2 linked regions of the Neurospora crassa OR74A genome follow. The protein of the gene in region 2 interacts with the protein of the main gene of each other region in a biochemical or structural test. Links are inferred from orthologs where the notes say so. Each region holds a gene or a part of one and is shown on either strand. Other genes may lie near its edges.

Region 1 (3,749 bases), on a different chromosome or scaffold from region 2:
CAACTAGTTTCCCCCCAAGACACACACTGCTTATCTATACCTTTCCTAGCAGGAGTAGTGACCAGACAAGAAAAAGAAAAGGTCGTTCGTTATTCATCCCCCGAGATATAAAAAGATTCCCTTTCCTTCCTACCCTCTCGAGTTGTGTGGAGACCGGACGGATGGAGAGACAGGACGGGCAGACGTGGCTTTCGTTTCGTTGGCACGGCAGGAGGGGCGAGGACCTCCCCAAAAGAAGTGGTCGGAACAGACGGCAGACGGGATGATGGCTGGGAGCCCTGGCGATCAGGAAACATGGCGGCGGTAGACAAGCTGACGGTAAGATACTCATGTTCGTTGCGGGCGGGCGAAAGTATCAGACGTTTATCGGCGGCCGAACCTAAAGGAAAACGGGTGTGTTCGTAAGAAAATTCTTTACTTGTGCTTCTTGGGGGTCTTGAATTGCTTCATCTGAGACTGGGAACGTACTTCTGTTTCTTCTCTGCGGGCTTGAGAATCTGCAAAGGGGGTTAGCAAGAGTGCAAGGGTCTCGGAGCTTGCCAAAGTCAGAAAAACATACCTGGAAAGAGCAGAGCAAACTTTCGTCGACGCTCATCATAGCACCAGCGTTGTCGAACTCGCCGCAGTAGTTGGGGGCACTAAACAAAGTAACGAGCTGGCGCTTCGAGAAGAACTCATATCCGTCCTCAACAACCTGGTGAGCACGGCAGATCAAATCCATGTCGTGTTTTTGGAGGAAGCGAGAAACGACATCCGGGCCGAATGTGAAGGAAACACCACGATCGTTTTCGCTCCAACCAGTAATGTCCTTATCGGGATCCGACCACAGGAGATCGCAAAGAAGACCGCAGTCAGGAATCTGGCGCTATTGTTAGTGTCTCATGTTACGGCAACTAGCCTGAGCAAACGGAAAGCCCGGGCATGAATGGTGTAACGTACGTCAGTTGGTCGCATGACTCGGCGGATCTGCTCCATTGAGTTCAGATCCGGGCTCAAACCACCGTGCATAGTGAAAATCTTCTCGTCGATAATGGCAGCGATCGGTAGGCAGTTGAAGCAGTCGGTGAAGGTCTTCCAAAGCTTGATGTTGTACCTCCGCTTGCACTCGTCGTAGAAACCATAGATACGGTTGATGGACGCGCACTCGTGGTTGCCACGAAGGATGAAGAAGTTCTCGGGGTACTTGATCTTGTAGGCGAGGAGCAGGCAGATGGTCTCCAGGGACTGCTTGCCACGATCGACGTAGTCACCTAGGAAGAGGTAGTTGGCCTCAGGAGGGAAGCCACCGTACTCGAAGAGGCGGAGGAGATCATAGTATTGACCGTGGATATCGCCGCAAATCTAGGGAGGTGGGGCACGACGTCAGCTATGAACACTGCCGAAGGGGCAGTATGGCGCATGCCGAGGCTATGTAAAGGGATAATAGAAAGAACACAATGCTTACCTTGATAGGAGCCTCGAGCTCAAGCAGGATGGGCTGGGAAATGAAGATTTCACGGGCCTTGGTGCAGAGATAGCGAATCTCGGCTTCCAGCAGCTGCACCTGCTTACCAGGCCGGCTGCCCCGCACCTCCAAGAGGCGGTCGATTATAGAGTCGAGGTCGACTTCGGTATGGTCCGCCATTGCAAAATCCTCACCAACCGGAGAGATACCGCGCACAGGTTTTCGAAGTCACGGTAACGACCGACAAACCCCAGCTAGTCGGATGGGACGGGTCTAAAAGAGCGGCACGCGTAAGGAGTAGGAAACTGGGGTAGATGCACTTCTGCAAAGCTAAACGACTAATTCAAGACGTTAGACATTGCCAATGACGACGCAGATTCTGATTGGGGTTTGCCGCACGCGATCGCGATGGCGGGAAAATGAAGGAGGAGCGACGGCTGGGCAGAGACTGGGAAGCCGCAATGTAACGGCAGTTGATCAACTTACGCTCAGAAGCGATCCCAGCAAGAAGCGATTGTTGGGGGTTTTTTTTTTTTTGGAGAGGCGAACGCGTTCTCCTTGGGAATACAGCAAGCGGTGATTTTTTTGGTGTTTTTTTTTTCTGGAAATAGGTATTCTTTCGGATACCGAATGTTGTGCTTTGGTTTTAGTAAATCGTCACTGGGTTTGGCGGAGGTGCGAACGGTCTAGAGCAAGCGCAAGCAAATCTCGTCGGAATTGCGAAGAAATCGGTCCGGTAGTACGCGGCGACAAGAGGGTTAGCAATGATGGAAAAAGGAGACGGCTCCAGAAGTCTCTGATCGTCCTTTGTGAGGTAACGTGTTTTTTTTTTTTTGTCGCGCGGACGGGGCTGGGGCAAAACGCCGTGTCGTCGTCGAAAATCTGGGTTCGAAAAGGTCGGGTGTAGAAGGGGAGTTCAAGTAGTCCTGAGACTGCGGGAGAGGCTGTCACTGCCACTGCCAAAACCACGGTCGGGAAAAACTGGTCGATGGACTGCCCGGGAGAGTGCAAAGTGCTGCAGCGAGGTGCAGTACAGAGCGCTGGGCCGGTCGGAGGGTCGCTGGAAAAAGCTGCGTCTAATTGAGCGACGGAGGCCAGAAGACGAGATACCGCGAGATGATGCCTATGATAATAGGACTTCTATCGCCAGGGTGGGGTTGAAAATGCGCGTTCTTTGTGGTTAAAGACGTCGCCCTGTTTTGGTTGGGATAGAAAGCGTCGGGAGAAAAAAATCAACGTCGGTGGTGGTTGCTTAGAGACTTTTGGGAGGAGACGGACAAGCGCAGACGCTTCCACTTGGGCTGCCCGCTGCTGGGGGGGGGGGGTCCGGCCGGGCGATGGGCTAGGTAGAGGTAGGTAGGTAGAGAAGACTGGCGACTGGACTGGACGGGGACGCAGAGAAGGGATTGGGCTACTGGGCCGATGGAGCAGCAAGATTTACACGCACGCAACGCAGCTAATGAAACGCACAGGGCTTCCAGACTACCTACTAGCAGTGGAGAGCAGTAGGTAGAGGTAGGCAGGCAGGTCCAGGTCCAGGTCCGCGTTCTTTCAAGCCCAGGTCAGGTCACCTCGGTGCCTGCCAGTCAGGTTATCGTTACAACAACCACAACAGGCGTCCGGTCGGGTCGGGTTTCGGTGCAGTTGTGATCTTTTCCGCCGACTGGGCTCTCATCCACATCGATGGAATGAACAGGACAGCACTCAGTGACATGGAACGAAAAAAACTCGAAACATCCGACGCGATGGCAGGCCAGAACAACCCTCAACTTAAACTCAAACATACCTACCTACGGCTGAAATAACCCAAACAAGGACAGGCTCAGATTGGGTGAGCTAGGTTAGGTAGTTGGTACCTAGGTTGCCAGCCAGGTAGGTAGGTACCTACCTAGGTTTCGCGCCCGCTCTGAATCTCCGTCAGATCCTGGCCGAGCCCTTGTGCCCTTTCCAGTTGCAGTGAAGCGGCCCTTCCAACTTGGCTCGAGAAAAATTGCATGCACTCGCCTCTGGGGAAGCAGGTATGATGATAGGTCGGTCCATGTTGCTCACTAACGCGACTGGGTAGGAGCTGCGCTGCCTTCCCCCGCAACTGCGAGCACTTCTGTTAGCAAGAGTCCCGAACACCGGACCCTCCTTGGCAGGTCTAGGCCTGGGATTGGCTCGCCTAAAAGCCGCTTGCGATCCCGTTGGTGGGTGTCGCCTGGAACTTCCATCTCTCCCAACCCTCCAACTTCCCCCTCCCTGTGTAGAGATAGTGGACTGTGAGTGTGACACCTTACCTGGTATGTACACGGCAATAGCAAAG
Region 2 (3,749 bases):
ACCGGAAACTCACTATCAGTTGTCCACCGAATCTTGATATGCCAGGGGTCCGCAGGAAGTCTATATGTCTTGGTGGGATCCATGCTGGATGATGACTTCTTGCGGGACCCGATACTAGGCCCATCATAGTCATCAGTGTCGTCATCGTCCCGGTGGGCTCTTTCGTAGTCTTCATCGACAATCCACCCAGCGCCAAGCTTGTTTAGCGCCTTGTAAATACACACCAGCGCCTCCCAAGGAGCGTTCCGGGATCGAATACCAAATTGCCATCGAGCAGGCTTGTTCTTCTTGGGCGGGTGGACGGGGGTAAGTCCTTGTGGGCGCTTGTTGGCCTCGTCAAGGCGAAGTTGACTCCTCGAATGTGGCTTGAGTCTTCGGATAGTCTCTTCTTGTTCAGCTTGGCTGCGCGGCTGATTTGCCGGCTCAACGATGGTGGGGATGGCATCAGGGGGCTCAAGACCTTCGGCCTTGGCCTTCTCTCGCTCCATAAAGACCCTGTGGTAGGTAGGAAGACTGCTAGGCAAAATACCGATCTTGCTGACATATGGCCGCGGTGAAGTTGCTGTGCTAACGGATGCGATCGAGCGAGCTGATGACATATTCGGGTCATGGAGCGGACTCGGGACAGACTCCTCTGTCGTGAGGCCTGGAATTTCTTCATCGGTTTTTAGTAGGGTATCCTGGTATTCCTCATTGGTGTTGCTCCAAAAGGACGATGGTCGCAAACTCAAGGATTTGCTTTTTTTTTGCGTCAAGCGATGTTCACCACTAGGCAAGTGTAAAATGGACGCCGAAGGAGGATGGGACGTGGCAAAATCAACTGCGAAAGAAGGACAAAACGGACGAGTATAGCATCGCAAAGGGATCGATAGGTTCCAATGATGAGAAGACAAAAGACTTGCTGGGAGGGAGCGTAGACTCACGGTTACTCTGCATCAGCTTGTTCTCACGCACGATCATGTAGGCATCTTTGATGGCCGAGGGTTCATCGGCCTCCAAGGCCTCTTCGACATCTCTCTTGCCGTAGCCCATGGTTTTACTGATCTTCTCCGTGACCTCATTATGCAACTTCTCCTGTTCCTGCGGAGGGGCATTTGGCGCAATGTCGCTAACCTTGATGGCCTTGTTGGGGTCCACGCCAGTATTGAGGAACTCCTCAACAGGAGGGTGAAGGTAAGCCGGCAGATCCTTGAGGAACCACGGGTCCTGGCGGATTTCGTCAATTGTGGCACGTTGAACAGGGTTGACAACCAACATCTTCTTGATTAGTGACGCCGCGCCGGGACTCATCCAGGTCGGCACCATGTAGCTTCCACGCGCAATTTTGGCAAAAAGACTGGGGATATGCTCGTCGTCGAAAGGGAGGCGCCCGACGAGTAGGACGTAAAGAATGACACCGCAACTCCAGACATCGACTTCGGGTCCTGCGTAAAGCTTGCCGCCAATGACCTCGGGAGCCGCGTAATTGGGAGAGCCGCAGCTGGTCTTGAGGAAATTACCGTCGGTCATGATATTGCTAAGACCAAAATCGGCAATTTTGACATTGAGATTATCGTCCAGCAAGAGGTTTTCGGGCTTTAGGTCGCGATGAACGATCTTGTGACGATGACAGTATTCGACGGCGCATAGCATCTGCTGAAAGAAGCGGCGGGCTTCGTCCTCCTTCATCTTTCCATGTTGAACAATGTAATCGAACAATTCGCCGCCGGCATACTCTAGCACCATGATGATCTCGGTTGGTGTTTTGATAACGGTGTACCTGGTATGCGCGCCGGGTTAGCCAACGTGTACGTAAAGGACCAGAGCCAACGTCTGCTGCGCATGGGCGTCGAGGGGTGCCTTACAGCTTGATGATATGGGGATGCCTTAGCAATTGAAGATACTCAATCTCGCGCTCTACGCGACCTTGCATGTCGCGGCTGATGAGCTTCTTGCGGGCGATGATCTTGAGAGCGACCTGCTGGCCGGTCATGCGATGGACAGCCAGCTTGACCTTTCCGAAGCTGCCTTCGCCGAGCGTCTTGACAATGTTATAGGCACCGATGCGCTGCTCGGTGCGCATCTTGTCGCGGAGGGGTGCGTCGGCCATGACGGCGTTGATATTAGGGTGTAATTGCTGACCGTGTTGACCGTATTCGTGGAGGTTGCCGGTACTGGGGCCGAAGCCTGATGCGCCATCGCCGGATCGCTTATTGCGACTTCGGATCTGAGAAGGAGACAAGGAGATGGAAAGCTCCTCGTCATCGTAGGCCTGTGCCATGGCAGACGGAGTCGCTTGCAACACAAGTGGACGACACTGAATCGCGGATGGAAGGTCGTTCGTTTCGTCTGACCAGATGTCGTCCGACTGGCTGGTGAAGAGGGTGAATGGGCAATGGAGGAACCGCGATGGTCCCTCGATTGAATCCTGGGAGCGGGAGCGAACAGACCCAAGAGGTTGGAGCTAATGAAGCTAGGGACGTCAAGTCAAGGCTCGGTGGGCTGTCTGTGTTGTAGCGTCGTCGGTCGATGTAAGGTACCGCCTTGCTTTGTTCAGGAGAACATCATGTATCGGATGCGCATTCGGTCGGTGTTCGGTTGTCAGCCGACAAGAATCAGCAATCGCGGTGGACGGGCAGCGCAGCGGGCAATCAAGTGGGTGTTGGAGCTGTTAGGTTCCATAGGAGGAAGTGGACAAGCGAACACTGCAGCGGGGCAACAATCCAGAGATGGTGTAATGGAAAACGGGGTGGAAGGAGTCGGGCGGGGATCTGGGGTGAAGAATGGGGGAATTAGTGGAGGAGTTGGAAGGATGCAGGGACGACAAACGGCAGCATCGCGGGGTCAGAGCGCTCCGGAAAGCGGCCACCTTAACTTAGGTACAACGGGGCTGCCGAGCCGGACGGAAAGTTCCATCATTCATCAGCTACTGTACCTACTTCATGTTTCGTTACTACCGCCTGGCTGGCCGAGGGGAGGTCATCCGGCTCGGTCACAGGACCATTGTCACAAGGCCGATAAAAGCCCTGTGTACGCCTATACGTGTCTACCACACATTATGGCCCAAAATGGTAGCAAGTCGAAATTACAAAGACTAGGTATACAACGTTCTCGTGTATAGAATACCAAAGGATTCAATTGTAAGCCAGGCTGGTCTTCGATCCCATGTACGGATCGCTGGTCTTGAATTGTGGATGTTTGGTACAATGAGAACCTCAATGGTCAATCGCGCCGGCTTTTGGTTAGCATCATCCGGATAGCGAGCAAGGTACCTGCCCAAGCTTCACCCAAAGCCGTGATCTGAATGTGTAATCAAAATGACGACTGAGCTCTCATATGTCATCCATGGAATTGTTTAGCTAGCCAACATCTCTAGCGAAAGTCATTCACCACCCACCTGCGACTGCCTTATGCCCACCATGGCGACAACACAGACTGCAGAGGAACTCCCCAATACCATGATGCGACGGCCATCGCTCCCACGCTCATGCCGAATGCCATCAAGAAGTTGACATCATTGTTATCAAGCAGGTCCCAGCCGTTCTCCACCACTCGCGACGGCCTCTCGTCTCCAAAGCTCGACCTCCGCTGCTTGTTGCGCGAATCGTACTTGTTACCGGCAGCGGCGCCGACATCCTCCACCGCATCCGTCCCCTCGCCAGACAGAAGAGACGACTTAATCTCAGCCTTAGTCCGACCGGCAACGTTGTTGGGGTTCGTAGCGTTGGTAACCAGTACCCTCACGCCACCCTCGCCCTCCACAATCTTGC

What was found. The genes of interacting proteins can lie anywhere in the genome.
Region 1: of the proteins of prk-10 (region 2) and pph-3, one has a biochemical effect on the other in vitro, tested with the Saccharomyces cerevisiae proteins (2 studies listed by BioGRID). The link is inferred for Neurospora crassa OR74A from reciprocal best matches to the Saccharomyces cerevisiae genes SNF1 and GLC7.

The regions. Positions count from the first base shown.
Region 1 is NC_026503.1:2,384,594-2,388,342, forward strand, and holds the start of pph-3 (serine/threonine-protein phosphatase PP1), read right to left. Parts: upstream 2,894-3,749; 5' UTR 1,931-2,893; intron 1,783-1,930; 5' UTR 1,625-1,782; coding exon 1,445-1,624; intron 1,342-1,444; coding exon 940-1,341; intron 860-939; coding exon 560-859; intron 498-559; coding exon 469-497; intron 380-468; coding exon 364-379; 3' UTR 1-363.
Region 2 is NC_026505.1:1,660,173-1,663,921, forward strand, and holds the start of prk-10 (protein kinase SNF1), read right to left. Parts: upstream 2,741-3,749; 5' UTR 2,261-2,740; coding exon 1,845-2,260; intron 1,760-1,844; coding exon 924-1,759; intron 656-923; coding exon 14-655; intron 1-13. Other genes in the region: NCU11040 (DUF92 domain-containing protein), read right to left, coding at 3,388-3,749. UniProt on the Saccharomyces cerevisiae protein: Serine/threonine protein kinase essential for release from glucose repression.